Diceros bicornis minor: one gene and its partners. The protein of the gene in region 2 purifies or fractionates together with the protein of the main gene of each other region. This does not show direct contact. Links are inferred from orthologs where the notes say so. Each region holds a gene or a part of one and is shown on either strand. Other genes may lie near its edges. The genes, in order: AGO2, DDX6, DCP1A and ATXN2.

Region 1 (7,063 bases), on a different chromosome or scaffold from region 2:
AAATATTCTGCTTCGTAAAACCATACAGGTTTTAGGAGTCAAAGCTTTGACATCGTTTTTTCTTACACGCTTATTTAAATCGTTCTTCATTTATAACAGATCCAAGAGGACTCTGCCCAACTCCCCAGCCATGCCTTCCGGCAGCAGGCAGCAGCTTCACCAGGGGCATCTGCTGCAGCGAAGGTGCACCATTATCAGGGGCCCCCATCATATCTCCACTGAGATAAAGGGGGGTGGGGTGAGAAGTTGGTTGTGGGAGGAGTTAAATGGCACTAGAAGGGACAGCGAAAGTCCATTACTCTCAAAGTCACAACCCTGTTTAGACAACTCTCAAACAAGACTTAGATGTTAACAGAAGTTAACTACAGAAGTTACTTTGTAGCAAATCTGTCAAGGGTGTAACACACAGGAATTTGAACACAGTAAAATGAAAAGAAACAATCTGCTTGGAGTAGGCTATTGCTCAGACACAGTTTAAGATCTCTAAGTGGTTTAAAAAGAACTAATGTTCATCTATGAAGGTTCAGGGTCACTGAGAGTCTACCCATCCTAAACCACTAACTCCTTGGAACAGTTCAAAAAACTAAGAAACAGTAACATACCTAACTTTAGAATCCAGATATTAATTCACATCCATAATAGCATCTGTAATGGGAATATCACAGACCTATTGTCAACTCTATTTTTTAAATTAATTTACTTAGTAATTTGCTTAATAAGTGTATTAAAATTGGAAGTAGCAAAACTACTTGTAATTTCCCTACAATCCAGATTGAATGTCTTTTCATTATTCTAAATTAGGAAATATAAGATTAAGAAGACTTTCGTTGAAGAGATTCTATTCCAAAAATTCCTTTTCAACAAAATTAAAAGCCTCAGTGTGTAGAATAAAATTGAACTGTACCACAGCCTTATAACTACAGCACACTTGTACAGCCCGAAATTTGGGTTCATTCCCATCCTGCCATTAGCTAAGAACTATCCTACAGACCTATTTATTTTTTCAACCCAAGCTGTCGGACTCCAGGGCTAGTTCATCTGTGAATCGTGGGGCCCCACCACAATGCAGAGACCGGCACCAGAGCAAGATTCTTCCAAAAGCTGTTAGGGACCAGAAATGAGCCTGGAGATCCAAAGGCTTGAGGCATTTTTAAAAAATGAAACAGACGAGAAAATATGCCCACAAGGAGCACACAGTAAGCTAAGTGTGCTTCCTGAAGCTCGTTTCCATTATTCCTGAGCGAACGGGTGCAGTCCAGATGTAACAGGTATTTCCTACTGTGGGTCAAGGTCAAAAGGAGTGACAGCCACTTCTCTAAGGAGAGTGTAGAAAAAGGCAGCTTGGGATCAGACAGATCGTCCTAATGCTCACTGGACATATGACCTTGGCAAGGTTGTTAACCTCTCTGAGCCTCTGTTGGCTCTACTCACTCAACTAGGTGAGGGACTACCCTGCCATTTCACGGGTGGGGTCGCTGCCAGCCCACAGTCTCAAGAAGCCAAATCTGCCCCCAGGACTGTGACAACAGAGCCCAGGGCCCTTCCCCACCAAGGCTGAGTCACCTCTCAGGTGTAGGGTTAAAACCATTCTTCAGTCAAATTGCTGAGAGCCCTTAAAAGTTGATCAGGTTCAGCCTGGGAGCAGCTTTCTACGTAACATCGGAAACAAGACACTCAGAACTCACAAGGCATAGAGCTGTTTGTGAACAGACACAGCGCGGGACAACGTCAAGGCCCCCGAGTGGATCAGGAAGGGCTTCCAGACTCCCAGTTTGGAGCAGGTCCCACCAGGGCCCCATCAGCAGGAGGCCCCGGAGGGCCGGGAACCTGAATGCACCTAGCACGGGGCCAGGACCAAGCCGGGAGCACGGCGGGGCCTGCAGCCTGCTCGAGCTGGCGGACAAAGAGGCGATGCCCCGTCCAAGTGGCAGGGCTAGCCGGGAAATTTAGGAGCCACGTGCCTGGCGGGATAGGGGGGAAAAAGCTTTACAACACTTGACCATTCTCTTGGTCCAGCAAGTCAACCGCCCTTCCACTCTACATTAAGGGAAAAAAAAGTGTTACTGCTTTAAGTTTTTAGAACTTTTCCAAAGAGAGAGAGGCTGACTAGTAAGAAGGGGTGCTAAGGAGATCCACACATCTCCTTACCTTCTTCTAGTAAATTGTAAAAAGCAATTAGCACTTGAATAAGGAGCCGGCGTGTCTGGAATGAAAATGAGATGCACGCACTTTCAGGGTTTTAGGGTGCCGCTTCCTGTCCCTCAGTCTACAGTCCTAACTACCAAGAGGAATTGGCCAAAATTCAGCATTTCCAGACTTTCCTTCAGAAAAGGGGCCGCAGAAGTGCTGGCAAAAAGAAAAACGAAACTGAGTGCGCTCCAGGCTCGCCGCGGCTCGGTCTGGCGCCGGAGCCGCGCGTCCCTCGCCCGCCGCCCGCACCCCGAGCTCGGCGCCCCGACCGGGACTGACCCCCGCGGGCGCTCACGGCCCGGGCCCCGCCGTCCCGCCGTCCCGCCGTCCCGCCGCGCGCAGCGGGGCCCGCGCTCCGGGCGCAGGAGGCGGCGGCCGCGGCCGGCAGGCGGGCGCGCGGGCCTCGGGCCTACACGCGGGCGGCCCGGAGCGGCCCCCGCCCGGGAGCCCGACGCGCGGACGGACACGGGGGCGCGGGAAGGGCCCAGGCCGCGCGGGGACCCCGACGACTGGAGCCCGAGGAGGCCGGGCTGCGCGGCGGCGGGGCCGAGGAACGGCCGGCGGCTCCGGCCCCAGCGCCCCCCGGGCCGCCGCCGGCCCCCGCCGGCGCGCCCCCGGCCCCGGCCCCCGCCCGCCCCCCGGCCCGCCGCCCCGGCCCCCGCCCGCGCCGCGCTCGCGCCCGGCCCGCCAACCGCCGCCGGCGCCGCGGGGAGCGCGCGGACTCACCGGGGCCGGCTCCCGAGTACATGGTGGCGCCGCCGAGGGGCTCCGCGGCGAGGGGCGGCCGCGCGCTCCACGGGCCCCGACGCCGCGAGCCGCGAGGGAGCCGCCGGCCGCACGATCCGCCCCGGCGCGGCCGCCTCGCCAAACAGGTCTGCCCGACACGGCCGGGGCGGCGGGCGGAGGCGGCGGCGGGGGAGGGGCGAGGGAGGAGGACGGAGACGGGGAGGAGGGAGGGGCCACGGGAGGGGGAGGAGGAGGGGGACGAGGAGGGGGACGAGGAGGAGGGAGGGGCGACGGGGAAGGACGCGGGAGGGGGAGGAAAGAGGGGAGGGGGGCGAGAAGGGAGGGGGCGAGAAGGGAGGGGGAGAGCGAGCGGAGGTGGGAGGGGGTGCACGGCGCGGGCGGGGCGGGGCCGGGGCGGGGGCGCGGGAGCTGGGGGCGGGCCCGGACGGGGACTGGGCGGCGCGGGCCGGTGTGGCGCGGAGGCCCCGCCGCGGGGGCGGGCGCGGGGCGGGGGGACCCCGCGCAGCCACTCGGAGGAGCGACGTCTCCTCGGCTGGGCGGAGCGGGCCAGCGCGGCTGTGCTACCCGAGACCGGGAAGAAAGAAAGGAAAACACACCCCCGTTTCCCCCGCGTCTCCGGCGCGCTTGGGGAGCGCGTTCTGGCTGCTCGCGCGGTGGGTGGTGGGGTGCACGACCCTTCGCCACCTTCACCCCCACCCGCCCGGGGGAACTGGGGCACAGTGTTGGCCTGGCCTTGGAGTCCGCGTCCTGGCGCCCCAGCATCTCAGCCGAGCTTTTTTTTTAAGTTATTAACGAAACATGAACGTCGGGAAGCTTCCTCCCGACCCGGAGCTTGAACTTGAACGCTCCCCGGCCCTTGCATACTACCACAGCGCCACCTCCCGGCCAAGAACCCAGATAATCCATGTAAAAATAGTATTACGTTTTTGGTAGATTTCAGCTGCTATCAATGGTGAGCTCAAACTAAAACTCCCTCTTCCGGCGCTCAGGGGCCTCCCCACATTCTTTCCCTGGGGCCCTTAGCGGACCCCATCACGCTCCTCTGCATTTCTGTTCTCTCCCCACGTGTGCCAGAACGTTCTCCCCTCTACCCAAATCCTCCTCCATCCTTCAAGTCTCCCTCCACAGGTTTTTGGAGCCTTTTCCAGGGAAACCAGCCAAGGATTACCTCCTTTCTCCCCTAATTAGTGGGTGATTAGAAGTCAGAGGGTGAAATAAAATCCAAAGTTGGTCATCATCTTTTTAACATACTTGCCTGCTCATTCCTAAATCCTATAAACATGTATTATCTGCATATTGGGTGCAAGGGACTGTGTGTTCCTCAGGCCTAGAGTCATACAAAGATGAACAGGAGTCCTGTCTGCAAAGAACTTAGCATCCAATAGGTTTATTACTTGTTCTTTGCAATCCTCGAGGACATCCCTAAATAAGTGCAGGAAAAGCAGCCTTTCCTCCAGAGAGGAACTTGCAAGGATATCCATCTTCACCAAATCATTGATGTGAACGGGATTCCATCCCATGGCATCGCCTCCAGGAAGCCCATCCATCCTCTCTAATTATCTGCCCACCACCTCCTGGACCGCCTGAAAAGCCCCTTACTGCTCTGCACCCACCAGTCATCTGTGAACACAAATCTGATGTTGTTCCTGCTCTGCTGGGAACCCTTTGTTGACTCCCCATTTCCATCTGCATGTGGTCCAAAATCTTTAATTTGGTTTACAGTGCCCTGTGTGACACAGCCCCTACCTGCTTTACCAGAATCTTCCACTTCACCTTCTTCTTCAGATCCACATCCTCACTTTCTCAAGAGTGTTACTGTGGGAGTGTGAATTAGTACAACCATATTGGAAAAAGAAGTTTGGCAGTGTCTGTAAAAGCTAACCACACGTGGCCCTAGGGAGATAGGCTGCTGAAATGTGGGTTTAGAAGCACAGCAAGCCCGGAGAGGAATGCACACTAGCACAGACCTGGGTACCACCAAAATATCCATCGGCCATTGAGTAAGTAATAAGAGCGATATATATTCATGAAGTGGGATCTAGTGATGAAAATGAACACTCTTCAGCCAAGTGCAACAATATGGATGAACCTCAACAATGTTGCGTGGAAGAATCCATCAGCCATACTGCATGATTCCGCTTACAAAAGTTCCAAAACAGGCAAAATTGAACTACGTTGTTTAGGGACACATAATTAAGTAGCAAAAAGCTAAAGAAAAGCAAAAAGGTAGTTTCCCATAAGAGAATGATGGCTACTGCTGGTGGCGGGCAGTTGCTGTGACCAGAGAGGTGGGAGGCCCTTTGGGGTGCAGGCTCCTCCCTGTAATACTGCTGTTCATTTTGCACATCTCTTAAGCTGTACATATTTTATATACTTTTCTGTACCTTTGCTACGTTTCACAATAAAGAAATTTAAAAATAATAATCATGAATGTTATTAGTCTCTTATTTATGAGCCACGTGACTGCCAAGGGCCCACTCTCTGTCTGCCTCTGTCTCCCTCACACATCACCATCCTGTTTTCTGCCCGAAATCACTGAACCACTCAGAGGCTGTTTGCTACTGTAATCTCTAGCCTCAGAAAACGCCCAGAAGGCTCTGTAATTGTGTCCCTCCAGCTCCGCCTTCTGCTTTTTTGAGCACACACACTGGGTAACTTTGTTGCAAGGGTTCCTTTGCAGAAGGTCGAACAAGATAATGTCTCCTCAGCGCCTGATTGTGTGGCTTCTCCGCGGAGACGGAACATTCGAGGCCCCCTGCTGGTGAAGCAGCGCCCTCGCTGCCTGCACCGGCCACCTCCAGGCCTCCCCGGAAGCCCAAGCAGTGTCTGAGTTGGAGTTCTCCCTCCCCCGCCACTAGCAGCAGGGTTCTCCTTTGTCCTTTTCTAGATAAGTCCACCTCTCCCAGACATCCCCTTCTACTGCTGGTGTTGAGGAACCCCGCCCCCTTTCTGCAGCGCTCCTCCTCCCACCCACCCCCAAGCTTCAGGGCCACAATGCCAAACCCAGTTCATCTTTTCTCACCTCCTCCCAGTCTGCCCTTTCCCTGTGTTCCCGAGCATGGCCAACAGATTCACCATCCACCAAAGAAACCCCAGGCCCCTCTGCCTTCTGCCTCTCCCGAAATCGCTGACTCAACTTAACCCATTTAACGGGGTCCACTCAATTCTCGCTGTGAAATGTCTCTAGAACCCTCTCCAACCCATTGCTGCTCTGCTCCTCCAGGCCTTCATCCAGCACTTGCATGTCAACCACATAGGGCCGACTCTGAGGCCAGTCTTTCTCCCAGATACAATTCATTGCTTTGTATTTGGGGATCCCTATGCTCTGATAAGACTGCAGGAAAGTAATCAGAGCCAGAGACCCCAACACTGGTCAGCCCCAGGTTTGCACATTGGGTGCACCCAGTCCAGAGCAGAAATGCCATAGGAAAGGCAAAAGCTGTCACCTTTGGGGTCCCTTAGTTTCTTCAAGACTTAAATGTGGGCACCGGAATAAAACAGTTGATCCAAAAACATGTTCTACATGTGATAAAAGAGGGGTTAGGAGGTCAACCAAATTGGGAAGCATTGAGTGCAACAACACTAAACAGATTTATTGGCTGCAGACCTTCTCAGAGCCTTTAACAAAGTATTAAGAATCATGATTCTACAAACAGGAAGGAGGGGAATAGATGGTATGCAGTCTGTCCCAACCCACTTGGCCACAGAACCCTTTAATCACAGGGTACCTTCAGGTTCCAGGGAACACACTTTTGGGAAACACTGAGGTAGAGCTCTTCTATGATGCCTTCCAGTAATAATGTTCTAAGATTCTTTGAATAAAAGTATTGGCTGTTTTTCTGAATTAAAAACTCAAGAGCATGGCTGTGAATTGACAAATACTTCTGTCATAGTAGGAACAAAATACACATCTAAGCAATTTCTACACACTGAACCCAACATTAAATGGAAACCACTTAATTTGAATACATAAATCACTTTGTCATTTTGTGCACCCAACAGAGGCTAAATCAAGAACTCTGAAAATGCAAGCAATCAGAGCCACCTCCTTGCACAACCCCAGGAGGCCACTGACACAACAGTGCTGCAGAGGGTGTCATTTACTGGCATACAGAAGTGCAAAAGG
Region 2 (7,811 bases):
TTGGCTGCACATTAGGATCTTCTTGGGAGCCTTAAAAAATGATGCCAGACTCCCAGCCCTAAGAATTCTGATTTAATTCCTCTGGGATGGGGCCCAGGCACCAGCGCCTGTGTTGACGCTAATGAGCAGCCATGATTGAGAACCACCAGTAAGAGGCTTGCAGAGCCACAAAAAGGGCTCCGCTGAGGTGTGGGAGCAGGAATTCATTGTTGAGCCAATCAGCCTGGTTACACAGCTCTCTCCAACACCAACACTCCTGGAACAGAAGCTGTGAAATTAGAGAGTGGCACTTATTCACTGAGGTTGGTAAGGCACTAGGCTAAAGAAGTAAGAGATGATAGAGCCTGGGGAAAAATAATTGAATTGGCCAACCTAACAGAATAGGCTCTAATCTGACAGAATAAGAACAGGTTCAGATGAAAGTTAATAAAGTAATAATAGCAACACCAAGTGATTTGTCTACCAACTACTAAAATAAGTGATTTATACAAATTCTCATTTACTCTTACATAGCTCTAGGTCTTATTATCCCTATTTTATAAATGCAGAAATTGAAGCTCAGAAGTTCAGAAAGGTTCCCAAGTTTATGGAGTTAATAAACGACAGAACTAGGATTTGACCCAGATCCAACTGACTCTAGAACCCGAGCGCTGGCTGGGCAGGAGCATGGGACTGGGAAGGTGAAAAGATAGTTGCATGTGGGAATCTGCTAGGATTTGAATGGGCTTTAGATAGGCCCAGAGGAAAGGAGATGAGAGGGTTTCTAAGGGAAACAATGGAAGGTTAGAGAATGTTCTCCTCTTAGCAGACCAATGTATTGGAGGATGGAGGAAGAGTGGGAAATTAGATGGGGTAGGCACATTGGCAGTCCCCATCTGTCAATGGAGTGTAGACTCCATGTGGTAAAAAGAAACTAGGAGACACTAAAGGGTTATTTAGGGGGTGGTTGACATGATAAAGAGTAATCTTTAAAATTCATCAAGGAGATGAAGAGCTAGGAAGGTCACTGAGAAGACCTCTGCATTGAAATACTTTTTTCTCCCTTTGTTCCCTGTCTTGTCTTGGTGGCCACAGATGTCACTTAATCCAAACATGGCACTCAGGATTGAAGAGGTTGCCCACTCTTTAGCCATAAACTACCTTCCCAGGGTTCATACCTAAGATCACAATTCTATTTTCAAAGACCAATAAAAGGCTCTGCAAATTGATGAGTGGAAGGAAACCTGAACTGGACACCTGGTCACAATTGTTGCTATCCCTGTAGAGAAGGCTATTCAGAAATATAATCTTGTTACAAGGTCCTGGGTATAAAGGAGGCATGGTACACACATGCCAACACCATGACAATTCCATAAGATTGTCACGGACCCCCATCAACATTACCCATCAGCAACCACCCCTGAACTCACTCAGAAAGTACCCAACGGGACCAAAGCATCATACACTGGGACGGTGTTAGATCTTTCTTGATCTGAGTAGACCAAATTAAATTTATACCTAAAGAACTAGTTTCCAGATTCCAGTGTCTTCCCAGCCACACATTATGTTCATAATAATGAATAAGTTAAAATTGCTGGTGCACAGTACTTTTAGGAAAACTGAAGAGGCAAAATGAATAGCTGGAATTCTCTGGGTGATGACTAGAACATAAACAATGCTGAAAACTGGTGGGGCCAAAAGACATCTGGCGAGCTGAGTTGGCTGGTTGTGGTGCCCTGGGAATAGGGAGATGTTATCTGTCAAAGGGAATATAAATTCTGCAAACTAAACTTGGCAGTATGGGGAAAACGTGTTTAACCCCATTTTCCTCCCTGTTTGTAATTTTCCTTTTCTACTCTTCAACTTGAGTTTACTCTGGAAGTGTAACATTTATTCCAACAAAATGTGCCTGGTGAGGTCTCTCAGTGATTAAAGACATCCGCTTAGTATGCATTAACTTCAGTGCAGTACTGGCACCTCTCTGAGGATATCTTTGCTAAGCCCTCAGTAGGCTGATATTGCTTCATTTTCTTTAGGTGTATAAACTGAAGAGGCAATTTTGGCCTGCTATGAAGTCCAAAGAAAATGATACTCAGCTCCTTGGGCTTGTTAGCCTTTACTCTTGGCTAGTGACTATCAGATATTGCTGAAGCACATTTGGAAAGGAACTTTACCTGCTGAAATTTCTTTTGGAAAATCAGAATATTATACTGTAAATCATGAAAGAGGGAAAATGCTGTACTATAAAGCTTAGCCAGGTGTGATATAATCATTTTATTGAGATTATGGTACGGGCAAATCTTTTTTCTTCTGGGTAATGGCTAGTAGTTTGAGTTTTAAAAAAAGCTATTATGTTTCCTTAATTATATAAAGTTAAAAGTGTGAAATCCATTTTAGCATGTTGAAAACATTTGGGTTTTTAAGATAGTATCACAGATGTACATATTCCAGATTCAAATTACTTGGAATTTATATTCTAAATATTGTAAATTAAAGTTAAAATGAAATCAAGTGTAAGTTAACCTGCGTTGTTTTTTTTTTTTTTTTGCTTCTAGTTATTTTTAGGTAAATAAATGAGGATAGGATGTGAGACTGGCAAACAATATTTGCTGGGAGGACCCATTATTGTGATTGAATTCCAAGTAACATTTTTTTAGTCGCATCCCATTCTCACCAAAAAAAAAGGAGTCCTGTTGTGTTTTAAACAGATACTGAAAACCTCAATTCTATTTGTGAACCTTTTTCTTTTTTAAAATATCTTACCTACAGACAGATTCTCTAGGAGCCAGCCAACAATCTAGGCCTAACACTTTAGCTTCATAGTTCAAAATACAAAAAGTAGGGTAAGGGGGAAATGAGTGACTAAAAACAAAATGAAAATGGCCAATACATCTTGGGAAGCACTTTACCACAATTAATAGGTGACCTCACCGGGGATAGCACACCCTCTAGAAACCATATTCACCACAGATCACCGAAACCATTATACTCAATATTAACTAAAGGCCAAAGGATTGGATTTATGTAATATTTTTTAAATATACATTTTATAAATATAAGGATGTTGTGTGGATTATTAAATAATACATCTGTATTCCTGATGTGTCATATTTTCTATGATTCTTGTTAATTTGCATGAACTAGAGAGAAAAAAGGTATTGAGATAGTTGGATTGGACCTATCAAATACTAAAATTGATCCCAGAAGAAAATATCCAAGGGTTCATAGCTTAATTCTAGACCATCTATGCTTCTCATCAGAAATCTGAAAAGGGCTGACATAAATGAGTTATAAGGATATCTGACTATGTTATAAGAACTTCACGCAGAATCTGTAAAGGTTTTAGCCCTGGAAGGATTCCTAGGTGAGAATGGGCAGCTATTTCATATTTTACTTTAGGTTGCCTCCTCACTTTTGTTTTTGTCATGACCTCAATCAGGCCCCTTTGAAAGGTAAGAGTATATTGGTGAATGCAAACCCCTTTTCTTTGCCTGCTCTCATTTCTTAAGTGGTCTAGGAAAAGACACCCTAACAGGCAGTGGCCTGTTTTAAATCCTTAGGTTCCCCTCCCTCCCACTGACTTCTTGCCCTCCTCCCGTTCACATTCCTGCTACTTAGAAAGACAGTGAGGCAAACAAGGCCTCACGCTTTAACATTTTAATAAGGAACCATCCAGCTATCCTCTCTCTAGTACGGGCACAAGGTGCAGGGTTATTCCCTTACAGGAGTGGGTGTTTTAAAATCTGGGTGGGAGATGACATGCTACAAATCTAGAACTTAAAAAATTGTAAGACCAGCCTTTTCACACTTTTCTACCAACTTTCCATTGGCTGTGCGGAAATAAACAAAGATCACCAAATGAGAACAGGCTACTTATTCAGAGCTTGCTATATAACACGAGAGCCGGCCACCTTCACTTGGTTTGGTAAAGACTCACAGGCAGGCAATGAAAAAAAAGGGACAGGCTCCAGGTGCGCTCTGATTGGAGACTGTTGGCATGGGGAAGCTGGAGGCGGGCTAACTAGAAGCGGGGCTTCTCATATGATTGGTTTGGGGAACATATTTGGCTCTCTCTGATTGGTCCCGAGTTGGAAGCAGGGGCAAAATTAGGGAAGCTGGCCGTCAACGACCCAGTCCTGCCGATTCGGCGCAGATCGTTGCAGAGGCTGTGGTTTGGCTTCCCGAGCTGGTTGCTGCAGAGGTTGTGGGTCGGAGTTCTGTTGTAACATATGGTGTGGCATTGTCCTTTATAAACAGTTTTTATTTTACCTTGACCTAGCTAGCTTTCTAGCTTTAAATTTTTGTTTTACCTGGAGCAAGACAGCATTGCTGTTATTTCTGTTAGGGATAAACGGAGACATTACGATATGAAAAGTATTTATGGGAACAAACACATATCTTTATAGTGAGGGTCAGGGAGGAGAAAGAATCACCCTCAGCCTTCTGCTTCCCCATTTCCTTAAAGAACTCCATTTCCATTACAACTGACTCCTCAGCAGCTTTCCCCTCCTTTAGGAGAGGCCCGGCTTCTCCCGCCTTCCCCCCCCCCCCCCGCCCCTTTCTTTGAGGATGGCCTAGCGGGGCCGGGAAAGGAAGGTCGCTGCCCCAGCCCCCGCCTCCTCCCCAAGGCGCGCTCTCCCGGCCGGCCGCCCTCCGCCACCAGCGAGCCCTCGCGGCGCGGCCCTCCCCTAACAGCCCCCTCCCCCTTCGGCTCGCCCTCGCAGCCCGGGCCTCCCCTTCGGCCGCCCATCGGCACGCCCTCTCGCCCCCCCCCCCACCCCCCAGCGCAGCGCACCCCGTTCCCCTGCCCGCCCCCGCGTGCTCTCCAGGGTCTTCCCGGTTGTACGCCCCCTCCCAACCCCGGCGTGCCCTCCGGTCCAGGCCGGCCCCCCATACCCCCTCCACACCCGGGCGCCCACCGGTGCCTCCGGGCCACTAGTTCCGCGCGTTCCTGGACGGAGGCGCGCCCCGGAGTGGCTCGGACGCGGCCCCCTTGTTCCTGCAGCAGCCTCCTGGGCCCACGGGAGATGGCAGGTCAGCTCTCCCGTCCCCAAGCCGGTCCCCGAAAGGCCGTTCTCGGAACGCCCCCTTGGTCAGGAATAAGCAGATCCTCCTCTGGTCTCGACCCCCGATTCCCACTGTGAGGGGGCGAAGGCCGGGCGGACTCCTCCCCATCCCCCAGTCGTTTCTCCTCAGCTGTGGAAAAGGCGGCCTCCCTTCTCTCAGGAAGAACTCGGTATTTCCCCTTCAACTGTCCCTAACTCGGGCGCCCGCGGGGCCGCGGGGGCAGTGAGAGCACGGCCCTCCATTTTCTTCTCAGGGAGCTGCCCCGGCCCGACTTGCTCCTGCCGCGAAGCCCGAGACGCTGTGACGCCGCGGCGGGGGCAGCGGCGGCGGCTGGGCTCTCGCCATCTTGCGAGGAGGAGGAGCCGCGGCCGCCGCCATGCGGAGAGGCAGGGAGAGAGGGCGGCGGGGGGGGGGGGGGGGGGGACGGGCGGCGGGCCGGCGAGGGAGGGGGAAGGGGAGCCGAGTTAGCTCAGCCCGGGCGGCGACTTCGGCGGCGCCATGAGAGCGGGCCGCGGCGGAGGTAGGGCTGGCCGGCCGGCCGGGGAACCGGCAGGCTCGGGCTCCTCAGCTGAGCGGCCCCCCGAGCAGGGCGGGGGCGGGGCGGGCGGAGGCAGAGGCGAGGGGCCGGGTGGGGGCGGGCGGAGGTTTCTGAAGAGGAAGGAGCCGCCGCCATTTTGGGAGCTTCGAGTCAACAATAAAGGACTGAGGGTGCCGAGCGGGAGTGGCCTCTGGGGTAGGACTCGGACCCGAGCCTCGGGGATTGGGGTGCGATGGGGGGGTCGAGGTCAGCGGTGCCGCTGGGGCTGCGGAAAGCCCCCCGGCCGGCGTGGGAGGCGCTCTGAGGCGGAGGCCTGAGGCCTGGCCGGGCCCTGGGGAGGAAGGCCAGCGGCGGGCGGCAGCTGTGTGGGGTGGGGGCGCTGAGGGGAGTAGCTATGGGGATGTCGTGGCGGCGGGGTCCGGATAAGGAGCGGGCGAAGTACTTGGAGCAGCTTCGTAGAAGACGAGGGAATGTGGGGCCATAGGGGGCGGCAAGGACTTCGGGAGACGGTGGAGGTTATAGGGTACGAGGCGGCCCTATAGGGGGCGGCAGGGATATGCAGTATTGCAGGGCTCGGTTTAGAAGAGGACCGGCAGCTGCTTGATCGGAATAAGGCCTTGTATGTAGGTCGATAACAAGAGGGTGATTATGGAGCCCCAAGTCGTAGAGGAAAGGAGGGGCTTTCTGAGTTAAGATTTCTCTTTGGGGCCTTATAGGGGAAGTCCCTATTTCCGACCCGCGGGGCTGGTTCCCTGCTCTGTGGCGCAGATTCGATTGTAGGGCCCCAACCCTTTTGTGTTTATGGTCGCAGGGAGCTGACTTGAAGTGTGTGTTTTGGGGGACGGGGGGAGTAAGAAATTACTGCCCTGCAGTTACGGGGTTCAAATCATTGGCTTGTTCCTTTCCCTTAACGCTCACTCCCTTTTCTCTTAACAGTCCCTTTTGCCCTCAGAATAGAACAGTCACTCCAACTTGCAGACCAAGCTTAGAGAAACTGCGCTGCATTTGCAAACAAAAGCTTTTGTTGGAGATGACGATACTGTTTTGGGTCTGAAACTGTCAGTTGCTAACTACAATCTGGGAAGTGCTGCAATTAACTCCGCAAGGGGCTCCTCCCAAGTAGTCTACGTTTTCGTTAGTATTTTTGAAAATCTAAATTGCAAATCTAAATTGAGAAGAGGTAGGAGGAATGTTTCCTTCTCTGAGACATAAAGCTGCAGTGCAGGTTTCATTTTAATTAAGAGAGGAGCAGTTATCACAGTCACATTTTGGATCTAGGGAGATATGAGGTCTTGCATGATGGACTGTAATGATACCATTTAATCTTTAGAGGTTGCCCTCTTCATCCTCTTAGTGCTTTGCAAACAGCTACGTGATATTGTTGATCATAATATAAACCTGTCAATACAGGAAGCCATTTACTGCCTTGAACTGAAATTAGGTGGTTGTTAACCACGGTCTGCTTCAGCCAGCCACATTCTGGGAGACTTCCAAATATACAGCTTTGTGTATGTGATAATCAGGATTTGCTTGTGAGCAACTTTATCTTCAATTTTAAAAAAAGGAAGACACACCGAAGGAGTATTTGAGAAAAATTTTAGTGTTTGAGAAGCCTTGGTGTATGGCAGAAATAACACTAATTAATAAGCTAGTGTATTTTTTGGCAAGAAATGTAAAGGAGTTAAAAAAGAACAAACCCAACAGAGTAGGCCTTTGTAAATTAAGTTTTCATTTACTACATTTTAAAATAAGAATTCGATTTTAGGAATAATTAAAAATGGAGGAGGTTGACCAGTTCGTTTTGGAAACAACTATTGGTACTCTGGCTTTCTTGGAAAGTTTGATTAGAGTTACTAGTGTGTTTAGCTGTTCACAGTTTTTTTTAACACAGGTAATTTCCTTTTTGTGTGTTTATAATTTTTTTTAATGGTAATGCTGTTTTAAGTTAGGATATACTTTTTGAAAAGTGTTATATTGAAATGTAGCTAATAGTTTTTTAGTATTCAGATTTTATTAAGGTAGGTAAAGATTTTTTTGGCTGGTTTTCAAGTCAGAAAATTTTGACGTATGCACGTCTGTATCCCTGCTTCAGTTATTGTTTTAAAGGGCAAAAACTTTGGGGAAAAAAGAAAATGCATTTTTCTTCATCAAGTTTAACTTCTGTAATTGAAATTCATAGGGGCACAATTTGTTTTTTCTGAAAGCATAAAGTCAAAAGCTCACGTAA
Region 3 (7,119 bases), on a different chromosome or scaffold from region 2:
CTAGGCCAAGGCAAGGACTTTGGATTTTACACCAGAGAAATGGGAAGTCTGTGACTGACTGACAAAGTTACACAGCTGGTAAACTTGGAACTAAAACACTCATCTTCTGACTTGTATTCTAGTGTCCTTTACCTTAGACCCTGTGATTTTATTTTTCATTTTATTTTATTTTGTGAGGAAGATTGTCCCTGGACTGACATCTGTGCCAATATTCCTCTATTTTGTATGTGGGACACCACTGCAGCATGGCTTGATAAGTGGTGTGTAGGTCCACACCCAGGATCTAAACCCACGAACCCAGGGCCTCCGAAGTGGAGCATGCGAACTTAACCACTCCACCACTGGGCCAGTCCCTAGACCCCATGATTTTAAATGGTAAGTTTTGTTTTTTACCACAAAGGCACTCAGAATGAAAGAGAGGTGGGGTTGGATTGATTGGGTTTTTTTAGATTGTCATATTTTAAATTATTTTTTAAAAAATATTTTTTAAAAAAATTGACATTCATGGAACACAACTCAAAAGTGACCACAGGTTTTTCAGTGCAGAGTTAGACTCTTTCCCGCCTCTGATCCCAGCCACTCATCTCCCCTCCCCTCCCTCTAGTCTCTGTCATGGCCTTAAAGGAGTTGAGTTTCAAGATGACATTCATGCACCAATATTTACTGAGAGTCTATTCTTTGCCATGGGCTGTACTAGGTACTGGAGACTTAATAGACTAAGATGCAATCTCTGCCCTCTCAAAGCCTATTGTCTAAAAGACACAAGAAAGCTCTTAAGGTTTGATTCACAAATATAAGGCAAAAATAGGTCCCAAAGTAAAACAAGAAGATTTTCAATTCCAAAATGTTCACATTTTCTTTAACATATCTTAAGAGCTGCATAGGGCATTAAAGTCAACACTAATGTTTTTGGGTCATGCAAACAAGCATTTTGAAGCAATTTTCTATTCCAAATATGAAAACTCCCTAAAATAGCTTGGGGTTCTTCACTAGTTTATCCCTATTCAACCAAAAATAATAAATGAAAAGGAAATGTCTTCGATTACTTTAGGAAATCTATATAAGAAAAAAAAACTAATGAATAAGTCACAAAGATGTAATGTACAGCGTGGTGACTATAGTTAATAATATTGCATTGCATATTTGAAAGCAGCTAGGAGAGTGGATCTTAAAAGCCCTCAACACAAGAAAAAAATTTTGTAAGTATGTACGGTGATGGATGTTAACTGGGCTATTGTGGTGATCATTTTGCAATATATAAAAATATCAAATCATTATGTTGTACACCTGAAACTCATATAATGTTATATGTCAATTACACCTCAATAAAAAAATAATAACTTTTTAAAAAGAAAAAAACCTAAATTCAGTTTCATGTGTGCCTTTGGATTTTGTACCAAGGGAATGTATTACCTATTCAAAAAATACATATATATCTTTTTAAATCAGGGTACAGATTGAAAGTAGGTAGAGGGGAGTAGGGCTCTGTCTCCAGGAGGAAGAAAGGCAGCCATAGTGTGGAGGAAAGGACCCTGGGGTAGAAGGCAGGAGTCCCTGAATTCTAATACTAGATCCTCCCTGACTAGTGTGGAACTTTGAGCCAGTGATTTCTCCACACAGCTTCAACGAAATCATCTACCAAGTGAGGATGACCACATCTTCCCTACCTCACCATTAGACTGTCAAATGAAAGGGAGCCCTTGCCCTTCTTCTGTGATGAACTCCTACTCATCCCTGGAGCACTGATTCAAACATCACCTCCCCCATGAAGTCTTCCTAGACTTTCCTGACCAGATGACATTAGTGGCTCCATCCTCTGGGTTTCAAGAGAAATGTTTCTAGCATTGTCCCAGTTTCCTGACATTGTTCTACTTCTTTCAGTTTCTCCCACAGGCAGGAAGTTGTCTTAGTCTGTGAAGCTCCCAAGGGCTAACAGTTCACAATTAGAAGTTTAATAAATAAATACTTGCTTAATGAACAGTGAATGAATGGTACATGTTTCCTTGTCTGCATTTGTACACACTTCTTACATGTGATAAATAAATGAAAAGCAATAGGATATATTGGAGTATATGAGGAAGCCATTTAGTTTAAAACTAATTCTGCCTCACATGGCCTATTGATCATGCATTGTATGTCTGCTTTAAACATTTACTACATACCAAAGACAAGAATGATGCCCTTAGAGATAAGGATGTAACTTCCCCCCATACTGGCATTTCTAGAAACTAAGGATTGATTATCAACTTGCTGTGCTCACCTTGTGACCACTGACCTGCTGTGCCAGCCAAGCATCTCAGGACAGTAGTAAAAGAGATACTCCTATCATATGTAACATATGCTCTTTGTTCCAAGACAGTATATAACCACTCTATACATCCCACTTCTTAAGAGTGCTTCCTTCCTTGGGGAAGGCAGGCCCTGGGCTATAGTCCTCAGGCCTGGCTCATAATAAACTCACCCGAATTTTGATTATGAATCGTTTGTGTTGACACGATTCTGCAAAAAATGTAAGATATGAATGGATGTAAAATCATAAACAATACAAATATTATGGGCTTTTTCTTTCAAAAACGTTCAATTCCATTAGGGCATCTTTTCAACATAAGAAAATGTTTTAAACAACAACAACAACCGGGTGTGGGGGTGGGGGAGTGTACATGGAACAGAGATCTGTGGGAGATCAAGATTTGGCCACCCTGAAATCTATCTCTTTACCTTGGTTGTTTTCTCTGAAGGACATTTGACCTCCCCCACTAACTGCCTAAAGAATTTGACATGGTGGCTCCTTTCTGGAACAGATCTATCATGATGGTTGTAAAGATAACGTAGGGTAAATGTTACAATAGGAAAGGCACCAACAAGCCCCTCTTATCAGAAGTTCTGTCTCTCTGGCCACATTCTCTGGATAACCCTGCGAGGAGTTGCCAGACAATCATTTACATTTATAAGGGAAATCTCCATTTGTGAAGGTATCTCCCTCTCTGTTTGGAGAAGAGAGGGGGATGAGCTCATTTCTAGTGACTTATCAATGTGGAAGGTGAGGCCTTGAGTTACATAATAAACCTTACTCTTGTTTACTGTGCTTTAGTGGTAATCTCCTGTAACTGACTCCCCCCACCCCCAAAATCCTCCTTTGTCATTGGCTGAAAATGATATTTAAGACGAGAATTTCTGCTATTGTGTTGAGAAACGCAGTGTCCCTGCTTTCTCCCATGTATACGTGTTATTAAACTTGGTATTATTTTCTCCTGCTAACCTATCTTGTTGATTATTTGGCCAGCCAGAAGAACCTTAAGGGAAAGGGCAGAGGGAGATTCTCCCTCTTCCCCCGACAGCTCCCTATAGTCTCCACACCTTGTTTTACGCTTCAGCTAGTACCAGGCTCTTCGCTGTTTGCTAAAAGAATGAGTTATCTTTTTAAAGCTTTAAACGATTCACGACAAACTCAAGCCTCCACGGACTCTTCTCAAGACTGGATGGAAAGATTTCCGTAGGATTCAGACGAGGAAAATAAGCAGCAAGAGTGAACAGCACAAGACACTCCTGTGTAGTTACAGGCAGGTTAGTTTGGCCTTTTTCAAAAATTTCCTTCAGAAAAACACGACATTGCTAAGGTGGTGATCTAGTGAGATGCGAGATCTGGGGTAACTTTCTGGGTTCCCTCGCTCCCCCTCTCCGCTTCTCTGAGCTTTCTACACGGCCCGTGGAGCCCTGCAGGGCCACAGCGGGGTTTTCGTGCTGAGGCCACGGGCCCTTCCCGTGCGCGAGCCGACGCAGGCCCGGCGTCCGTCTCCAGCCTCGTCCGGAAGGAGCTCGGAGGAAGCTCTTGGGCAGCCTTGATCCCGGCGCCGGGACGTTTTAGCCCGCGGAAACCTGGACCTCCACCTGCCAGCTCTGCTACGCGGTCCTGCACACCGCACCGGGGCCTCTAACACCTGCAGAGGCCGGAACCCGCCGCCCGGGGCGTGGGCGCAGCGGAGCGTAATAGCTACGGTACCGCCCCGCCGCCAGGCCCCGCGGAGAGGCGGAAGCTGAGGGCGCTGACGCAGCTGGGGGAACTTTGCTTCGATGGCACCTTCCTGTCCGCTACTCCGCCCCCGCCAGAGGGGCTCGGCTCGGGAATTCAAGATGGAGTCGCTGAGCCGAGCTGGGCAGGAGATGAGTCTAGCGGCCCTGAAGCAGCACGACCCCTACATCACCAGCATCGCAGATCTCACGGGCCAGGTCGCTTTGTACACCTTCTGCCCCAAGGCCAACCAGTGGGTGAGTGCGGCCAGGCCGCTGAGGTCGCTCGCCCTGCCGCCGCCTCTTAAAGGGGCCGCGCGGAACGCCCTGGGTGGGGGGCGATGCGGGAGGCCAGGGCGACGGAGGCGAGGCCAGGGACTGTAGAATAGCCTGGCCGGCGCCAGAGGGGTGTCGGGGGCGCCCTGGATCGGGGGAGAGGAGCGAGAGAAGTAGGCCCAAGACAGGGGGAAAAGCCGATAGAGGGGAGGATTGGAGGAGAATCTGTCGCTTGGGGTCGGGTCCGGGGACGTGGGCGCCCTGCCTTCTTTGCAGGTGTGTTTTAGAATACGAAGCCGATGGGGTCAGAAAGATGCCTGAAAGATTGTTTGAAGCTTCGAGGGTTATTAAATAAGTTACATATGCATAACATATAAAGTAAACACCTCGTAAATACAAGCTCTCCCCGCAACAGACACATAAATAAGAGCCCCCTTCGCAGAGGTCATTTGGATTGAAAGCTTGAAATCCAATTAGTTTCAGTTCTTGGAAAAGGAGGTGGGGATAAATCCGGCTTTTATCGAACTACGCTGTGTTTCCCGAGTTTTGGAGAAGATTTCAAGGCACTTAGGAAAAGGGCTTCGTATTAACTGGATTCCTTTGAACTCTTTGGAAACGAGACCCTGTAAATGTGTCTCCTTTCAGCTCTGCTGCTGGTGATGTCACCTCTGAATGCTCCCATCAGACTAAGTACTTTTTGGCTTTTTTGCACGGAAGGGGGTCCGAAAAGTTACGTTCAGTCTGTTCAGTGACTTGTTAGCCCCTGTTTGAAGCTTCTTTCGTTGTTTAAATAATATAATTTCCCGTTTTCTCGTAATCGACCCTTCTTAATGAACTCATTCAGCTATAAGCTTGACATTTAGAAAATAATCCGTACATGTTTGTTGGATTGAATTCGTGAGTGACTGACGTTCACATTTCAGTAAGAAATGAAATCTTTATGTTAACAAAACTCTAAAAGATTGTTATTGTAATATGTCCTTTACAATATAATACAGATACATAGGTTATATTTAATCAGTAATTTTGTGAAAATCATTTGGCATTTATAGACGGTTAATTCAGGTGAACAGAGTTTTCAAAATCATCTTGCTTTACTTTTTCTTTCCTTCACCTCCTGAAAGAGGAGATATAGGAGGCCACAAATAAGAAAGTTATAGAATTTTTTTAAGTGTAGCTGTTTTAGACGTTGCCTTAGTTTGAATTGTTCTTAATCATTTTTCTTTTCTTGGTCTACCTATAAATTTGTGAAATATGGATTGCAGACAAATGGTGAAGACTTGGGGCAGGGATTTATTACCAGCAAGCTTTTATTTCCAGTTTTTAACAGACTTTCATTATTTTGGAATTTTAATTGTGGAGTTCTATTTTAAATATGAAATACAAGCTTTAATAACCTGAATTGAAAAATAAGCTGTTGTCGTTCATTTGGATCATGGCACATAGAGCATAACCAAAATCTTTCTTTCTTTATTATTTTACAGTGAGTTGTAACTTTGCACAGTGTTTTGTTTGGGCAAGTTTGCTTCCACTGTAAGACAGTTGATTACCAATTTCTTATACTAATAACTTGACATTTGAAAGGCAAGAAAAAGCCTCTGAATCCTTAGGAAGGAAAAGTTTCATGTGATATTTCAGCTAGGGCAATACTCCTGGAAGAAATCAAGATGATAAATATTTTTTAAAATTTTTTATCCCAACAAATTCAATTTGATATGACTAACATTTAAGGTTTTCTAGTAGTTTGTTGATTACATTAAAATATTTAGGTCCCATCCAGGCTGTGAACTGCAGACTATTATGGTTATTTGTTTCTTTAAAACATCATAACTGTTTAAAACCTAAGTACACTCTTATCACAGCAAGTGAAAGATGATATGAGTTGTACTTTCTTAATCAAAACATTTCACTTTAAGCTAAAAAAAATTTTTTAAATTATATGTAAGACCTACAGTAATTACATTAAGGCAGAGTATAGTTTCAGTATTCATAATTCTTCAACAAAGTTCTAAAAATAAGCTAAGCATTTTTGACAGTATTTCTTAACTAACCACGGAATTTGCTACTCATGAAAATCCCCCAATGATGAAACAAAGTGTCCTATAAGATAAAATTTTGTTTTTTTATCTTACTAACTTTGATAAACTTTAAAAGTGAAGAAATTGCTGTACACAGGACCTTGGCTTTAAAATTAAGAAATTTGGCTAAAACATTTTGGCTTTAAAAAGTGAAAGTTGGGGCCAGCCCAGTGACCGTGATGTAGTGGTTAAGTTTCAGCACACTCGGCTTCGGCAGCCCGGGGTTCAAGGGTTCAGATCCTGGGTACAGACCCTCACCACTCGTCAGCCACGCTGTGGCAGCAACTCACATACAAAATAAAGGAAGAGTGGCACAGGTGTTAGCTCAGGGCCAATCTTCCTCAACCAAAACAAAAAAAAGAGGAAGATTGGCAACGGATGTTAGCTTAGGACCGGTCTTCCTGAAATTGAAAAGAAAAAAGTAAAAGCTAATTCTAGGGTTTTCTTCTTTAAAATTTAAAAAAGGAAAAGAAGGAGCTAGGGCCGGCCCGGTGGCTTAGCGGTTAGGTGCACGCGCTCCACTGCTGGCGGCCCGGGTTCAGATCCCAGGCGTGCACCGACGCACTGCTTCTCCGGCCATGCTGAGGCCGTGTCCCACATACAGCAACTAGAAGGATGTGCAGCTATGACATACAACTATCTACTGGGGCTTTGGGGGAAAAAAATAAATACATAAATAAATAAAATTAAAAAAGAAGGGGCCAGCCCAGTGGCTAGTGGTTAAGTTCACGTGCTCTGCTTCAGCGGCCTAGGGTTC
Region 4 (7,694 bases), on a different chromosome or scaffold from region 2:
TGCATTCTCCAAATGGCGCATACTTCAAATCTCTGGCTTTCCGTAAATCTGTGGGCCCTGAAATAACAGCCTGCCCACAAAATTTACCCCAAAAAGGGGGTGAATGAAAACAAAAAGGGAGAACCAGGAAGAACAAAAGGCTGAGTTTCTTTAAATTTCTAGCTCTGCACAGCACAAGCATTTCCAATGAAAAATAAAGAATTCTTTCTTCTGTGTCGATTTCAGCTGGCATCCAGCTTTTGCCTTGTGAATAATGTCACTGCATCATTATTCTGTCCCACAAGGTAAAAAACACTAAGCAACTTAACAACCAGAAGTGTGCTCGTGTGGAGGAAACGGCTCATTTAAAAGCTTTTCAAATAATGTTGCTGTGTTCCCTACTATTTTGCCACCCCCCCCTCAGTTTTTTCAAACCTATGGGAAAGTTGTTACTTTGCACACAAGGTGTGTACATAATGCCCTCCTGGAAGCACCCCACACTTTACACTTTCTCTTTTTTTTTTTTTATTGCTTTTAGCCTTTTGGGATTCCTGGAGTGTCTACAAATAGATTAGCCTCTAAGAATTCTGAGTAACCATGGTTAGAAAAAAACACTGGTTTAATTAGCCATGGTCCTATTTTTGAAATTACATCTGCTCTTTTTTTTTTTTTTTTTTTAAGTGAGGATTGGTCTATGCAAAAACTTGAAGAGGATGGATTTTGGGGGGGGTGCATGTTAGTTCTGATTTGAATTAATTTTCATGCTTTTGAAAGCAAAATCAAGAGTATTGAGTGAATAATGTATCATCATACATTAAACATGATCGAATGAAGAGAGCTGAAAAGAAATGATTGCAGAAAAATGAATTGCTGGAAATACTGGATCATCTGATGTGTGCTGCTGTATCGTGTGATAGCAAATGACTCTTCGCATTTCTGCTTTGCATGGCTACATCAGTTTTTCATCTCCACATCCTCAGACTTGATTAATCATTGAAGTGATGAAAATTAAAGGGCCATGTGCCTTGCTGAAGGGTCATTGAAAATCAGAAAGCAAGTAGAGAATCCATAAGACTAGATTCCCAAGTTTGAAAGTCTTTCTCTATATGTTTCTCACTTGATACTTTCATTTCTGAAATAGTGGTTGAAACGGCCACAGCTATTTTTGAAGTTTATATTTTAGAAATACTTCTCAATATCAGAACTCTTTCAGGACAGTGTTTTTCATGGCCTTTGATGACAACTCTTCAGCAACACTTGTTGGTTTTATTTATTTATTTTTAATAATTTTATTTATTTATTTATTTTTCCCCCAAGGCCCCAGTAGATAGTTGTATGTCATAGTTGCACATCCTTCTAGTTGCTGTATGTGGGACGTGGCCTCAGCATGGCCGGACATGCGGTGCGTCGGTGCGAGCCCGGGATCCAAACCCCGGGCCGCCAGCATCGGAGCGCGATCACTTAACCGATAAGCCACGGGGCCGGCCCAACACTTGTTGGTTTTAAACAAAACCAACAATGGCTGCCTGAAAATTGGGGCCGGGGGAAGCACTCAAAAATGTAACTTATACTGGATATACTATTAGTTCCTGACTTCATTTGTCTTTAAAGAATTCTGAATGCACATGGAAATCACCAGAAATGCACTTTTTTTTGGGGTCATCTGTATCAGTTATCTATTGCTGTGTAACAAATTCTCCTAAAACTTATTGACTGAAACAACAAAAGGGTTAGGAATCTGGCGTGGCTTAGCTGAGCATCTCTAGTTCAGGGTCTCTGGAAAGGCCTACTAAGGTGCTTCGATCAGGGTTGCAGTCACAACAAGGCTTGACGGGGGAGGGGGGGGGCGGGGGGGGGGGTGATCTGCTTCCAAGCTCACTCACCTGGCTGCTGGCCACCATCAGGTCCTTGCTGCTGTGGCTGGAGACGACAGTTCCTTACCATGTGGGCCTCTCCACAGGGCAGCTCACAACATGGCAGCCACCTTTCTTCAAAGCAAGTGAGTGAGAGAGGGCAGTCCAAAACAAAAGCCAGTCTTCTTTTCATATAAAACTAAAGCCCTCTGACATCACAGTTGCTGTTAAATAACCACATCTTCAGAGGTCTAGAATTCAGGTGAGGGGTTTGCAGTAAGAGATATTTTTTGGTTCTGGGTGGTGATCCTCCTTCCATAAAGAAAAATGGGGAAGTGTATAAAATAGAATAGATAGTAGAGGTTCTCTTGGTTTCCGTTTTAATATAAAAGCAGAAATCAAATTTTAATGATAAACCCTCAATATTTCAGGCGTGGATGTAAAATGGTATAGTCACTTTGGAAAAGAGTTTGATGGTATCTTAAAAAAGTTAAATATAAATTTACCATACTATCTAACATTCCATTTCTAGGCATCTACTCAAGAGAAATGAAAACATATGTCCACGTGAAGACATATGTTTACAAATGTTCATAGCAGCATTACTCAGAATAGCCCCAAACTTGAAACAACCTAAATGTCCACCAACTGGTGAATAGATATACAAAAAGTGATATATTCATACAATGGCATATTACATGGTGATAAAAAATAATGAAACACTGATACGTGCTACGATGTGGATAAACCTCAAAAACATGTGAAAGAAAGCAGACAAAGACCACCTATTGTAAGACTCCAATTATACGGAATGTCCAGAACAGATAAATCCATTGAGACAGGAAGTAGATTAGGGGTTGCTGGGGCTGAGGATGGGAACGAGGAGTCACTGCAAATGGGTATGAAGGATCCTTTTGGGGTGATGGAAATATTCTGAAATTAGTGATGATGGTTTCACAACCCTCTAAATTTTCTGAGAATCATTGAATTGTATACAAAATGGGTGAATTTCATAATATGTAAATTATGCCTCAATAAAACTGTTAACAATATATTTTCAGTGATAGTAGATGAAACTTTGAGCTTTCTCAGCGTAAATGAAATCAAGTTCAGCTACGTCAGCCTCAGGCCTTCTTATTCCACTTGTTTTTCCTCCCATTTGTCTGGAATTTGGTCCTGAGATTGAACTCTGGGACCTTGGTCCCAGATATAGCTGTCAAATAATTAAACCAGAGAAAGTTGATTGTACTTCTATTATGGCCCTTCTATTTTTTTTTTCCTCATCCGTTTTTTTAGTCTCAATTTCCTTTGGGTTAATTTTTAAAGGATTTTGCAAACGTTGGTTTAAAAGAATACTATTTTTTTTTTTTTTCCTTCAACCTCCTTTTACCTCATCTGGGAGAAAAGCTGATTTCCTACTTTTCAAGTGTTTGCAGAATATAATGATCATTTTTGCCTGAACTATCTTGGAGATTAATTTCAATTTGGCTACTGGAGACTCGTGGCTTAAGCATTCTCCAAATTTTTCTGTTTTTACCTTTATCTGACAATTCTGGGAGATTGAGGGGAATTTTGGTATTTTCCTCCTATTTCCTGAAGTCGTTACACTTTTTTAAAAAACTAGATTCCTTACTCAAAACAATCAAAAAGTTATCTACTTGCTTCCAGTTTAATTGCAACACAGTCAAAAAATGGACTACTGTGCTGGCTACCAACCTAAGTTAAAGTAAAACTAAAGGGGCCAAGGTCTAAAGCGCGCACCTTCTTGTGAGGTCTGTGCTGTCTCCACCGAAGGAGCCGCTATTATCCATAACTCTACCAATCATGTACATTTCCTTTTGAGTCTCAAGAATGAGGAAAAAGAAGTCCAAGTGAGGGGAAATGGGTTCAAATGAAGGTCAGATACCCAAAAGTTTTCCAGTTACTGTGTTACTGGGGTGAAAAAAGTGGGCAAAAGGTAACCAGATCTGGGTGGCCCCAGGAAGTGGCTCGATTCCAACACTGCCATTCTTGGTACAGAAAGAGAGGACAGCCTGCCTTTGAGACACCCAGTGACACGTGAGAGCCTACTGTGTGCCAGCTGCTGGGAATACAAAGAAAACTGTGGGATGCTTGTGTTCTAGGTGCTTTATACGGAGCAAGGCAGTCTGCGCCCAGAAAGCACTCCAGTCCATCCTCTAGGTTGCATCAGGTGGGGGCTGAGCAAGGTGTCTGTGCAGTGGCCGACACCTCCTGTTGCACACGGATAATATCTGAGTCTCCGTCTCGCTCTCTCAAATACGAGAGGGCGGACTCGGATTCTCCTAGCCGTGCGAGGACGTTGATGGACTATTGGGGGGCGGGAGGCGGGGAAGAAACGCTTCCCTCCGGTCCTCTACGCTAGGCCGGCCCTGCAGGCGAAGACAGACACGCCCTCTCTGAAAGGCAGACCCGCCTCGAGGAGGGCGGATCCGGCCAGGGCCGGCCGCCGGGCCCTCACCCGACCCCCGCGAACGCGGCCCAGCGCAGCGCCCGATCCTCACGTGTCCCTCCCGGCCCCGGGCCGCCTCACGTTCTGCTTCCGCCCGACCCTTCCGACTTCCGGTAAAGAATCCCCGTCCCGCACGTCCGCGCCCACCCGGCATCGCCACGCGGCGCCTCTGTGGGCCCGGCGCCCGATGCGCTCGGCGGCCGCAGCTCCTCGGAGCCCCACGGCGGCCCTCGAGCCTCGCCGCCTGGCCGCGGCCAGGTGGCCCGGGCGGCGCTCGCTCCCGCCGCCGGCGCGGCGGAGCGGGCGGGGCGGCGGCGGCGCGGCTCCGGGCCCGTATCCCTCCGCCGCCCCTCCCCCGCCCGGCCCCGGCCCCCCTCCCTCCGGGCAGCGCTCGCCTCCCTCCGCCTCAGACTGTTTTGGTAGCAACGGCAACGGCGGCGGCGCGGCCCGGCCCGGCTCCCGGCGGCTCCTCGGTTTCGGCGGGCCTCCCCGCCCCTTCGTCGTCGTCCTTCTCCCCTTCGCCGGCCCGGTCGCCCCCCCGGCCGCGCCAGCTCGCGCCTCCCCGCTCGGCGCCCGCGCGTCCCCGCCGCGCTCCGGCGTCTCCTCGGCGCGCCCGGCTCCCGGCTGTCCCCGCCCGGCGTGCGGGCCGGTGTATGGGCCCCTCACCATGTCGCTGAAGCCCCAGCAGCAGCAGCAGCAGCAGCCTGCGGCCGCCAATGCCCGCAAGCCCAGCGGCGGCCTTCTCACGTCGCCCGCCGCCGCGCCGCCGCCGTCCTCGTCCTCAGTCTCGTCGTCCTCGGCCGTGGCTTCCTCCTCCTCCTCCTCCTCCTCCTCCTCCGCGGCGGCGGCGGCGGCGGCGGCGGCGGCGAGCGCAGGCGGCGGCCGGCCCGGCCTGGGCAGGTGGGTGTCGCGCCCCAGCCCCCTCCGTTCCGAGCCGGCCTGGCTTCGCGTCCCCTCCCCCGCGGCCCGCACCGCCGTCCCCGCCCCGTGACCGGCCGGCCCGGGGGGGTGGGCTGGGGGCCCGCAGTGGGGGTGGGGCTCCCCTGCCGTCCAGAGCCGGGGGGGCGGGGGGTGGGGGTGCCGCCGGCTCCCTGTGAGAATGTCAGGCGGTGTCCGGCGTCCTGCAACATCCCCACCCCCTCCGCCGAACGGTCAAGATGGAAGGCCTGGGCCGCCTCCCCCTCTCGTTTAAGTGCTGGGGAGGGGGTCACAGGTCTCGGCGAGTGTCAGCTCTGTTATACCTTTCTCAAGCCTCCTCCGCCCCCGGGGGGGGATGCTTGGGCAGCGCCCCCACCCCCAGTTGGGATGTTAACGTGGAAGGGTCTTGAGGTTTTGGTTCCGTTTCCCGAAACTTGCCAACTCCCCCATTGGGGAATAACGAGGGAGGGGGGAGAGTTAGGGCAGCGTCCCCCCTGCCTGTTAAAGGGGCAGCCGCAGGGCTCCTCTGGAGTCTTGAGGGTCTGTGCAGTGTCCTTACCCACCCGCCTCCCCGCCCCGGGAAGATGGAAGGGCCAGGTTGAGGGGGTGGGCAGCGGCCCCCCGCACCCCTCCCCATTTAAGTCGCGGCGTCGGCGAGGCTCCAGAACTCCTCGGGAATCGTGGGGCTCTGTGCTGTCTCCCGCAGCGTCCCGCCCTCCCCACCTGAGGACGGGGTGGGGAGGCCCGGCCCCCGCCCGGCCTCCCTCCTTCCCCCGCGAGGCCTCCCCGGCGCGGGTGGCGGCCGAGCCGCATTGCTGCTCCGAGGCCGCGGAGGAGAAGTCGCCTTGGAATAGCGGTGGGCGAGGGTCGGACCCCGGCGTGCTGCAGAAGCCCAGCCGGACTGGGGACATTGTGGGGGGCGGGGGCAGGGAGCTGGCATGTTGCGCATTTTTCCCTAGCCCCCGCCCCAATTTTTGAAATTTCAAGGGGAGAGGGATTGCAGCAGGGGGCATCGTGGGGTTCCTGGAGGCAGAAATGCGGATGTTTACTTGCGTCGTCTCCCCCTCCTGCCCCCATAACCCAGGTTTGTGGTAGAGACCACTGGGGGCTCAGTGTCTTCTCAGCTAACCGGGTCTGACTCTGGCGGGTGTGTTTGTGCGGGAAGGCCTGTTGGGGGTGTGTGTGTGGGGGTGGTTGTCAGTTCGTATTTCACGAACTAGGAAAATGCTTAGTGTTCAAACGGGGCAACAAATGTCAATGGACTCCATTCCATTGTGGCCAGTGTCCTTAACTTGGGGAGTGCCGCCAGAGCTCTCCAAGGGCACGCGAGTCCATTTCCCCGGTGCCCCGGGGCCCATCCGTGTTGCATGGACTGCCATGCCTCCCTTAGGTCTAGGCGGGGTTGGCAGGGTCAGTAAAGAGGATCCTTCTTAAATAGACATTCTGGGCTTTAGAAGGTGGGGTAAGGGGATTTTTTCATGCAGTAAGTTTTGTTTTTGAAAACCGATTTTCAGCAATCCATTTCCAAAGAATTTTCATTTATGGCAGGAGAAGTTACCCATCAGGATGAATCAGAGCTGATTTTTAAGGAATTCTGCTGCCTTCGATGGGAGGAGGGGGAACATGGGTTTTTTGACTTGTGCTCTCCCCCCCACTCCCAGACTCCCCCTTCTCTGAAGCACCCACAGACTACTACCTAGTCAAACTACTTCAAATGAAGTGCTTATTTTCCCAGCTCTTTCCATTTAGGATTCTGCAACTCCATAGTGAAAAATGGAAAAATTTTATATGTAATTTTTATAGAAAAGGATGCACCATTTTTTCCTTCTTAGGTATCAGAAATCTGGCAGATATATTCAACTTGTTCAAATAATTAAAAATTAGAACTAAAGCTTTTACGTTGCATCCACTCTGGTTAGGCTTAAAAATTGTCAAGAATCTGTTCCAGAACGGCTGGAGTGATCAAAAATATTTGGAGTGTTGTAGCACCACAGATCTTTTTCTGTTCGTTGAGGCATCGCAAACATTTAGGGTTAATTTAGATTCCTCCTCCCTTTAAGTTCTTTTACTTGAGGCATAAATTGTGGCCCTTATTCTTTTTGGTAAATATGTGGGGTTTTTTTTTTAATGTATTGGATTCATATAATGTGAAATTTTGTTCTTGTACAGATCTTCAGTTAATATACTTGTAGAATTCCTTTCAATTTTGATCACTGTTACTGGGTTCTTTGTAAGCCATTACAGTTTCTAGAGTCTCACTTATGTTTGTATTAACAGTTAAAATAAGTTTCTGGGACCAAGGGTGAAGAAAGGAAGTGCAGCGTTGGGTTTGACATGGTTAGAGATGGCAAAATATTCTTGAAAGTCTAGAAATACACGTCTGCTTTAAATAATATAACGTCTCATCATATTTGATTCTTTTTGGTGAATAGTGCATTTTCTTGGCTTTCAAAAATTTATTCTGTCTTTACTTG

What was found.
Region 1: the proteins of DDX6 (region 2) and AGO2 purify together in Homo sapiens (affinity purification with western blotting; 5 studies listed by BioGRID and IntAct, with this or other methods). This does not show direct contact. The link is inferred for Diceros bicornis minor from reciprocal best matches to the Homo sapiens genes DDX6 and AGO2.
Region 3: the proteins of DDX6 (region 2) and DCP1A purify together in Homo sapiens (affinity purification with mass spectrometry; 8 studies listed by BioGRID and IntAct, counting the BioPlex papers as one, with this or other methods). This does not show direct contact. The link is inferred for Diceros bicornis minor from reciprocal best matches to the Homo sapiens genes DDX6 and DCP1A.
Region 4: the proteins of DDX6 (region 2) and ATXN2 purify together in Homo sapiens (affinity purification with mass spectrometry; 6 studies listed by BioGRID and IntAct, counting the BioPlex papers as one, with this or other methods). This does not show direct contact. The link is inferred for Diceros bicornis minor from reciprocal best matches to the Homo sapiens genes DDX6 and ATXN2.

What each region holds. Positions count from the first base shown.
Region 1 is NC_080760.1:53,395,560-53,402,622, forward strand, and holds the start of AGO2 (protein argonaute-2), read right to left. Parts: upstream 3,004-7,063; 5' UTR 2,939-3,003; coding exon 2,917-2,938; intron 1-2,916.
Region 2 is NC_080746.1:18,137,641-18,145,451, forward strand, and holds the start of DDX6 (probable ATP-dependent RNA helicase DDX6), read left to right. Parts: upstream 1-4,801; 5' UTR 4,802-5,013; intron 5,014-5,060; exon of another isoform or gene 5,061-5,215; intron 5,216-5,518; exon of another isoform or gene 5,519-5,566; intron 5,567-5,702; exon of another isoform or gene 5,703-5,779; intron 5,780-7,811.
Region 3 is NC_080741.1:53,869,179-53,876,297, reverse strand, and holds the start of DCP1A (mRNA-decapping enzyme 1A), read left to right. Parts: upstream 1-4,107; 5' UTR 4,108-4,131; coding exon 4,132-4,266; intron 4,267-7,119. UniProt on the Homo sapiens protein: Necessary for the degradation of mRNAs, both in normal mRNA turnover and in nonsense-mediated mRNA decay. Removes the 7-methyl guanine cap structure from mRNA molecules, yielding a 5'-phosphorylated mRNA fragment and 7m-GDP.
Region 4 is NC_080774.1:9,832,696-9,840,389, reverse strand, and holds the start of ATXN2 (ataxin-2), read left to right. Parts: upstream 1-4,679; 5' UTR 4,680-4,969; coding exon 4,970-5,202; intron 5,203-7,694. UniProt on the Homo sapiens protein: Involved in EGFR trafficking, acting as negative regulator of endocytic EGFR internalization at the plasma membrane.